Linked DNA regions of Arabidopsis thaliana. The protein of the gene in region 2 binds, or shares a complex with, the protein of the main gene of each other region. Each region holds a gene or a part of one and is shown on either strand. Other genes may lie near its edges.

Evidence for each region.
Region 1: LSM1B (region 2) and emb1644 share a complex: the UniProt entries of both Arabidopsis thaliana proteins name them as parts of the heptameric LSM1-LSM7 complex.

What each region holds. Positions count from the first base shown.
Region 1 is NC_003076.8:9,813,475-9,818,180, reverse strand, and holds emb1644 (Small nuclear ribonucleoprotein family protein), read right to left. Parts: upstream 2,682-4,706; 5' UTR 2,436-2,681; intron 2,315-2,435; 5' UTR 2,278-2,314; coding exon 2,275-2,277; intron 2,177-2,274; coding exon 2,135-2,176; intron 2,003-2,134; coding exon 1,904-2,002; intron 1,799-1,903; coding exon 1,721-1,798; intron 1,652-1,720; exon of another isoform or gene 1,514-1,651; intron 1,294-1,513; coding exon 1,257-1,293; intron 1,126-1,256; coding exon 1,018-1,125; intron 900-1,017; coding exon 877-899; 3' UTR 563-876; downstream 1-562. Other genes in the region: AT5G27710 (T-box protein), read right to left, coding at 3,163-3,245, 3,388-3,480, 3,626-3,721, 3,839-3,909, 4,300-4,442, 4,517-4,594, 4,669-4,706. UniProt on the Arabidopsis thaliana protein: Component of LSM protein complexes, which are involved in RNA processing. Component of the cytoplasmic LSM1-LSM7 complex which is involved in mRNA degradation by promoting decapping and leading to accurate 5'-3' mRNA decay.
Region 2 is NC_003074.8:4,665,712-4,669,993, reverse strand, and holds LSM1B (Small nuclear ribonucleoprotein family protein), read right to left. Parts: upstream 2,687-4,282; 5' UTR 2,503-2,686; exon of another isoform or gene 2,393-2,502; 5' UTR 2,278-2,392; coding exon 2,217-2,277; intron 1,665-2,216; exon of another isoform or gene 1,645-1,664; coding exon of another isoform or gene 1,614-1,644; coding exon 1,545-1,613; intron 1,454-1,544; coding exon 1,338-1,453; intron 1,253-1,337; coding exon 1,190-1,252; intron 1,083-1,189; coding exon 1,005-1,082; 3' UTR 800-1,004; downstream 1-799. Other genes in the region: EXO70D3 (exocyst subunit exo70 family protein D3), read left to right, coding at 1-486; AT3G14075 (Mono-/di-acylglycerol lipase, N-terminal;Lipase, class 3), read left to right, coding at 3,656-3,952, 4,058-4,255. UniProt on the Arabidopsis thaliana protein: Component of the cytoplasmic LSM1-LSM7 complex which is involved in mRNA degradation by promoting decapping and leading to accurate 5'-3' mRNA decay.

The DNA.
Region 1 (4,706 bases), on a different chromosome or scaffold from region 2:
AATAAAGATATTAATCATAAGTTTAGTTTTTGTTAGAAAAGAACTATGGATTCACACGTTAGACGGTGTATATTGACGAAAATATCTTTATCAATTTCTAATATTACAATAAGACTTCCGATAGATTTGAGAAGAGGAAAATTCAATTGTAAAAATACAGTGAAGAAAAATATGTAATTTTCATGATATTTGAAGAAATACATATGACTCCTTACATAACGTGAAATATTGACAGATATGTATAATTATTACATTAAAACATAGTTATTTTATGAAATACTAATGATATATTGGATAAAAGACATGTAATTTGTTTATATAACATGAAATCTTGACAAAAATATGAATCTGTTCCAAAAAAAAAATATGAGATTTTGTTAGATAGCTTGACAAAAATTTACAAGTCAATGTAAAGACTTAAGAGCATGTTTTGTCTTTGAAATACATGCGTTTTTTAAATCATATCTAATCTTATATGTCATGCCGACGAGTGATGGAGAAAATCCGGTGAAAGAGGAAAAAAAGAATAGATAGGAAAAAAAGAAAAATAATAAAAGGGTAAGATGGACCAAAGATCTTATAAAAACCCTGTCGTTGGTTAATTGTATAAATTCTCTAACAATTATATAAATTCAAGACCTGAAAGATTCATTTTTAAGCGCAAATGAAAACAATTGGAATTTCACATATACCACAAAAAGGCAAAAGACAAATTTCATTTTTCGAAAAGATCACAAGGAGAATCGAAAAACACACTCCCTATCCCTTACATACTTAATAGAAAACCAACAACAGACCAACTTCTTATGTAACTTTTGGTTTTCTCCACAATGGGAAGTTAGCAGATTTGGCAGCGAGTCTTTAAAACTTGTTGCATCAACCACGGCCGCGACCTGCTCCTGTTTTTCATAACATATTAGAGTTTTAGCTTAAATCCCATTGTGGCAAGACACAGATATTTGAAGTATTCTAGTAAAATCAGAGTTTTGTGACAAGCTTTGTTTGTGTATTTTTTACCTCTGTTGCCACCCATCTTCCCCATTGAAGTTCCTCTGCCTCTGCCTCTGGCTCCTCCATCATCCACACCACGTCCTCTTCCACGTCCAACACCTGGTGGTTTTCTATCTGCACATATTCAACCATCGTTATTAACACCTGAAGTATTCTCAATGTCTACTCTGGCAAAATATTAACACCTCAGAAAACTCGAAGCATATCTCAGTAAAGGTACAATATAGACATGAGTAATACTATACCTGTGCGTGTCTTCTCCTCCTGTACTTTATCAATCACCTGAAGAGAGAAGAAATCAATTTAAGTCAGTTAACTCAATCTAGGTTGCAGCAGTAAGAACATAAATAGAAACAGCATATGACTGTCCTTCTAGATGAAGATATCGTTTATGGTATGTGAATATAATTTGATTTTAGAGGGAATGAAATAAAGTAGAAACAATAGAGAAAAATCGCATCAGAAACACAACACAGCAAAGTCCATAAAAGTGGGTCAACATTCTGGTCAGCAATAACCATTCCCTGTGATATCGTCTAAGACGCACTACAACAAGAGGCACACCATCTGCTGAACAAGGTTCCACAGAAAAATGCCTCTTGGAGCACATATCTGATTTGGCTAAGCATCATCATTCCAGAGAGAGGGGAACAAAGAAAAAACTAGATCAAGCAAGAGATATATACACACACACACAAAAAAAAATTACCTCATCCGGAACTCGAAGGTACTTGATTGTGTTACCACGGATATAACATTCCGGCATCCTCCAAAATCTATCTCCGTCCTAGAGTAATCAAGCAGCAAAATATATGAGTGTCAGCTACACAAAATTTCATCACGAAGTCTAAACAAAGTATATTTGTATCAACATATGAAAACATAAGATAACCTTTGATGTACATATGACTTCACGCAGATGGATGTTCATCCAAGTATCACAATTCACCAAATGCCCATTGTATGTCTCTCCATTCTTAAGCTCCACGAGCTACCAAAACAAAACAAGATTCAAAATTACAGTAAAAGGAAGTTCCTTTAGATCCCTAATGCAATGCTCACTTAAACTCAGCTTCACTTCATATATAACAAAATTGTAATCAAGGGTCGAAATTTTACTCACCATAGGATGCCCTTGAGCAGTTTTAAGCAGCGATAGAGGAAGCTATAAAATCAAAACAACAGCTTTCAGTTAATAAAAATTGAAACTTTAACGCAAACAAGAAAGAAGGAAAAAAACCCTAAGTTTGTCTAGTAACTTACCATCTTCTTAAATCAGAAGATTTAGAGATCCGTTAAGAACCTGATGACATCAGAGAAGTATAACATTAAACCCTTTATAAGATGCGGAAGAAGCAATAGCGAAAACGGAACAAAAACCCTAATTCAGCTACTAAAAAAAATCTGAGAGAAAAGGGAGAAACCTTGTAATATACTCCGAAGATCGGCAAGAAGGTGAACGATTCAAATATGAAAGAGATCGAAGAATAGAGAGGCGTCGAAACTTCGAAATCTGTTTTTTGCTTTTTTCTGCTTCTCGGGTTTTGACAGTGAGAGGGATGGATTTCTAATGAATCGGTGGTCTTTTAGTTTTAGGTCAATGGGAACTTTTTTGAGTTTTGCACTCGAGTCCCTTAACTTTATAATATTATCTGTTTTAGTATATATTGTTAAACATATCAATCTAGCCAACTAATCCGATGTCGTCCAGCGGTTAGGATATCTGGCTTTCACCCAGGAGACCCGGGTTCGATTCCCGGCATCGGAGCTTTTTGTTTTAATTTTTCGTATACTTTGTCTACACCAAAGTGTATTTGTAGCCGTTGGCAATGGTTACCTGGTGGAAAATAACTAATCATTAATATGTTATTGATGCTCTCGAAATTAATTAATTTACATCACTAAGGCGAACTGTGTGAATCAAACAAAGCCAAGTGATATGTCAAATCTAATCCTAAACTTTTACAATTAAGCTTAAAGCCTCAGCAATGTGATTGTTAAAGCTATTTTGTAACCGACAATACTTCAGACCTCTCTAAATTATCAACCAACTCGAACGTTATTGAACCTCGACCAGCTCCAGTAACTAAATCTTAATCAAAGTTTCAATTACACACAACTGTGTAATTGTGAATCTGTAACTGGTTTGTTTCAGCACATGAAAAGCTGATAGTCAGGTTCGTGAGCTCCGACATTCAAGTAATTGACATCAACTGCGGTTGTTCCCAAATCATCTGGTGGAGAAGGATAAGACATAAAGTTTCAATAGAGCATAAATCTTTAAGAGACTTTGAGTGTATGTATGTGTAATCAAATGTGATCTACAATGAAGCAAATTGATGAGTGAGATGAGAGAAGGTATAGAGTTGTTCAAACCTTCGTATATTGTTCTTACAAACTTAACATAGTCAGGGATGAGATCTCGGTATATGATTCCATCCGGATGCGCATCAAGAACCACAAGTACACCTACAGATCAATCAAAGGAAAGGAAGATGTCAAACGTAACACTACAATTGTTTTCCACGATACTAATGAAAGACAAGATCATCTTGAAACTATGAAGTGTTTAGATCTTTTCTATTACTCTCAGAGATGAAAACAGATATTATACCTGGAGCAACCCAATCTGGAGAAGAGTTGCTAGGTAATGGTGCAAGCCAAAGGATATTCCTCAAGTTCATTGAATCATTGTATTTCACGTCAGATCCTAACAAAAAGGAGATACAATCATAATACTGAAGATTTAAGGGATTTCTGTGACCATTTCTATGTTTCAAGAGATTGCAAGAAAACTCACAGTCACACGGACAAGAACCCATATTACCTCTCTGGCAATATCCCATGTTGTAAGGAAACACTTTCTTGTCATAGGCTGGATACTCTTTAGCATGAAACCTACCATCACCAATCAGATACTAGTCAACAACAGTACTCAAAACCTAGCTCAACCATGTAACTTTCTATAAATATTCCCCAAAACTCATTACTTACGTTCAACCTTTCTAAAAACACTGCAACAATTGTGTTAAGAATCAGAAACCATTCTTCCTTTATTGATAACTGTTGGTTACATTCAAGAACACAAGAACAAACCCTAGAGAGTTCTCTTCACTCTCAAAGCCTAAATGCTCCCAATTAACCAAATGGTCTAGACCCCCTTATATCTACTATTCTAGTGCCTATCAAAGCGTCTCGATTCTTACACAACGAAGTCAGTAACAGAACATGATCATCATTACTATTTCAAGAGTCCTAGTGTGTGTTGAGGAGACAAAGGAGACTTACAATATTCCAAGGCGTCCAGATTCTGAGGCAAGGAATAAATGGCCATGGAACAAATCATATCTACTCAATGAAACATTCAATCCAACACTAGGTCCCCTAGATTCAATTAGATGAAACAAGAACTCGAAATATGAGTTCACTTCCTGTTCATTAACATCATCAATCAGATCACTACACCATAAGATCAAACAGTTCACAAAATAGCTTCTTTTTTTACCTCTGCTATAAAATGACGACCATAAGGAGTTCTAGTAAGTTGACATTTATCTTTTCTTGATCGTTCAACATCAGGAACCTATAAAACCAAATTTTAACCAATTCAATCTAACGAACAATAAACCAAATCAAACCATTAAATTGAAGACGAACCGGGATCATTTTCGGATTGAGAGTTCGCTGAATTGAAC
Region 2 (4,282 bases):
ATCCATTACATTGTTCAGAAAGTGAAAAGGTCACCAGAACTACGAGAGATGATTGGAGACCATTATTTAAGGAAACTCACTGGGATATTTAGACATGCTGCCACAAACTACCAGAGAGCTACATGGGTCAGAGTACTGAATAGTTTGAGAGATGAAGGATTACATGTGAGTGGGAGTTTCTCCTCAGGTGTATCAAGAAGTGCATTAAGAGAGAGGTTTAAGGCATTCAATACAATGTTCGAAGAGGTTCACAGGACTCAGTCCACATGGTCGGTTCCAGATGCTCAGCTTAGAGAAGAACTCCGAATATCGCTATCCGAGCATCTAATCCCTGCTTATAGATCGTTTCTTGGAAGGTTCAGGGGTCATATAGAGAGTGGAAGACACCCTGAGAACTATTTGAAATATTCGGTTGAAGATATCGAGACCATCGTTCTAGATTTCTTCGAAGGATATACCACACCACCACACTTGAGGAGGCGATAAAAGAAGATCGAAAACCCGAGAGTTCTATCTTCTTTCTTTCGTTTTTCAGTCACATTAGGATGTCATAGAAATAGAACCATTCTTTGAATTTTTATTCACGGGTTTCCTGCCCGGTGGAATAATCTCCAGGTGAACATATTTGTGTGTTGTTGTTTGTGCCATATGTCTTCTATTTATAAAAGTCCTGATTGATCACAGAACCAATAAGTACCATGTAAATTTTGCAATGTGCGACGTCCTCTACTCATTTGCTCCATTTTTGTTCCGTTTGGTAGTAGCCATAGGCAAGCTCCTTGTTTAAAAGTTCCAAAATAGAGAAAGAAATTGCTTAACATTTTTTTCTTAAAAAGGTAAATAGATCCAAAGACAAAAGTACACAGATTTATTGTCATATTCATCCAAAATGAAACACAAGAATTGCGTCGATCCCCTAAGTCAACACACCAAAAAGGCTCATCATAAAACTTGCGAGCCAAAGCAGAGCATCAAGCCAATAATGAATGGGGATACAATCTGGTTTAATCAAAGTCAAGAAACTCCATTCTCTTCCTCATTGTTCCTCTCAGCTCACTCGCTTCCCTCTCCACCTTTTGTGCCTGCATCAACAGACAGATTCCCGAAAACCAAATCATCAGCACGCACACAGCATCACAAATGAATCAAATTTGGCTAATCAAAATGAACATGTTATGCGATGTCTTACCCTTTTAATCTCTGCCTCTGAGACGCGAATCATATGTGGAGGAAGCTCTTCTCTCTCCGTGTCCTAATACATAGTTTAAGGTCAAACTCAGTGAATTGGAAAACACGAGGTGACACAGCAAGAAAAGACAAACAAGGAGAAGTCTTACCAGCTCACCAATCAAAACAACATTCTCTCCACGGATTACATAGAGGCCTAAAGGAATGTCACAGTATTGTTCACCAACAATTACCCTCTCACACGCACCTTCTAGAACCGCATTGGCTGTGTATTTACAACGAACAAAAAAAAGTCAAATCTCTCCCGCTCATCAACAATATCGTAAATCTAGAAACATGGAAAGAAAAGTGAATACCGAATTGATCAAAGGAACGGAGTGTTCCCATTAGCTTTCTACCATCTCTAAGAAGCACAAGTAGTTTTCCTGCATCATCAAGAGCAGAGCCAACATACATAAGTAACTGATGCACATTGATTCATATCTAAAAAAGAAAACGGTACGCCAAATGAGATTGAGAACTAACTCATAGCCCAAAAACATCAGCAAAAGAAGATCATTGACTTTTAAACTCAAAGAACCAACATCAAAAAGCCGATAGTGAATTAAATTTCAACAAAGGTTAAAGTTTATACTTCGTAAGTTGAATAAAGAGTGAGCCAGCAACCTCAATCACATCTAATCTCTCACGCATGCTAAAATTTAGCTTGACAACAATAACTGATGAACAGTTAGATTTGACCCAATTAAAAAAAAACTAAAGCTTTGATTCAATAATCAATATCTTAATCAATGAATGTCTCTTTGAGACAATTCAACACCAAAATTGACAAGCTTTGGATACAGCCACAAAATAGTACAGCCTATATATCAATAAGAAGTCAAAATCAAACGTCAAAAAAACAGAGAATTGTTTGCAAAATTGAGCTCCCAAATGCGTACAGAGCCATCACGGCCAATTATTTTAACTACATGCATTCATACGGTTCAACAAATATGTGAAACAGAGAGAAAGAGAGACGGATTTACTATCGAGATAACTAGCGAGTGATGTTGAAAGATAAATTTCTTCAGGACCAGCCCACGACATCGCCACTGACTTTGAAATTGAAGAAAACTTTCGGTCTTTCTATAGAACACTACCGATGATAATAATGTTCGTCAGATTCCAGCTGAAGAGATAAGATTTGGCTATTGAACGCGAACTTTGACAGGAAAAAAAAAAAGTGAAGACGGAAAGAGAAATCTAAATTAGGGTTTTGACCAAAGGGTTTAAATTGATAAAGTGATTAAAAAAGATTGAGACTTTCGACACCTGATCGAAGACGGACACGGGTTCTTCAAAAAAATATAAAACCCAGATCCGATCGAACTTTGGCTGAGAAAATTTGTTTGTGGAAAATTCGAAGAGAAAACTAGCGAGCAAATCCGTCCACTGTCCCTTTTTTATTATTTTCAAGCAATGTCCACGATTTCTTAACTCGATAGATAAGACGTTGTACTTTAATACTTTAAGCACTTTCCAATTTAATGTTAAATTTCCTAATAATTATTGTGACTGAATGTTTCTTAAATAAATGAGACTAATCTTCCAAGCTAATAAAATATCTGTTTCGAATAAATTTTAATTTATGGACCAAAAAAGTCGATTTAACACTATTATTATTTACTGCTTGATTTATGTTAAAACGCTTTTATGGGTAAGTCATCCAATAATATATTCCCACGTAAGCATCAGATCTCGGCGGCGCGAAACTACGCGGCGTTCGCTTAGCACAAAAACGTAGCGCAGTTTATTTAAAGCAAAACAAAAAATTCTGTTTTCACACTTTTGCATTGCAGCATCTTGTAGCTAACAACATCATCGGAGAGAAAGCAGCTTCCCCTTCCCGGAGATATCGTACATAAGCTAAAGCAACCTTAACCTTCCTTCTCCACTGTAAAACCCTCAAATTAAGGTCACGATTTCGTCTTATTTTTCCAGGTTTGATTCACAAAGAACTTCGTGTTTTAACGATGCTATTCTTGGGGTAGGATTTAGGGTTTTGTTTCTATAGTTCACCGATCCTGTTCAATTTTAAGCTAAATCACATTCAATTTTATGATTTGCATCGGTTAAAAGACGCGATAGTTATCAGGAGTAGGGTTTGTTGTGGTATTCGAGAAGTTTCAGGAAAGTGAGAGTTTTCTATTAATGGCTTCTTTTTTTTGTATCCCGAATTCTTTGGGGTTAATTGGTGAAAAGAATGTTCTTTGTACGAAATTATATCCAATTTTCCAGCTTTACATGTTTTTGGAGATTTCTGGAATAAGTCTGAGATACTTAAGAACGCATCTGGAGATTGAAATTGTGGCATCCAATGTAGTTTCAATCGATTTTGTCTTTAAATTTTGTATTCTTATTAGATTGAGTTTCGTCTTGGATTGAGCGAATTTGTTTCATTGATGATTTTAGGGATAGATTGATCATGGCAACTGCAACTATGGCAACAGCAGCTGGAGCAGCTGCTCTTTTATATTACACGTTGAATCGGAAATTAATAGCTGGTCCATCTGACGTTGACGATGAGAATTCTGAAGCTTCTGCTTCTCGTCCTTCTTTGAGGATTGACCGTGTTTCGCATAGGCTTATTCAAGCTCCGGCAACTTGGTTGGAGACTATTTCTACTCTTTCTGAGACTCTTCGTTTTACTTACTCTGAGACTCTTGGGAAGTGGCCTATTGGTGATCTTGCGTTTGGGATCAATTTTCTCATCAAGAGGCAGGTATAACATCTCTTCATCGTTTTAACGGTCTTAAGTTCTGGATTTTTTTCTAATTATCTTGTGGTCAAAATTGAACTTTTTGTAATTGTGTACCTAAAACCGTAGGGACTTCTACATGTTGATCGTGTCTTTGGTGGTAAAGATAGTGTAGAACTTAGAGGATCAGAAGTAGCCACTGAACTCAAATATCTTTTGCACTTGTTGACATTGTGTTGGCATTTTTCCAAGAAGTCGTTTCCGTTTTTCTTAGAAGAGACCGGCTTTACAAAGGAAAATGTCCTTATTCATGAACCCAAAGCTGGGGTAAACTTTAACAACTCTCAACTCTTA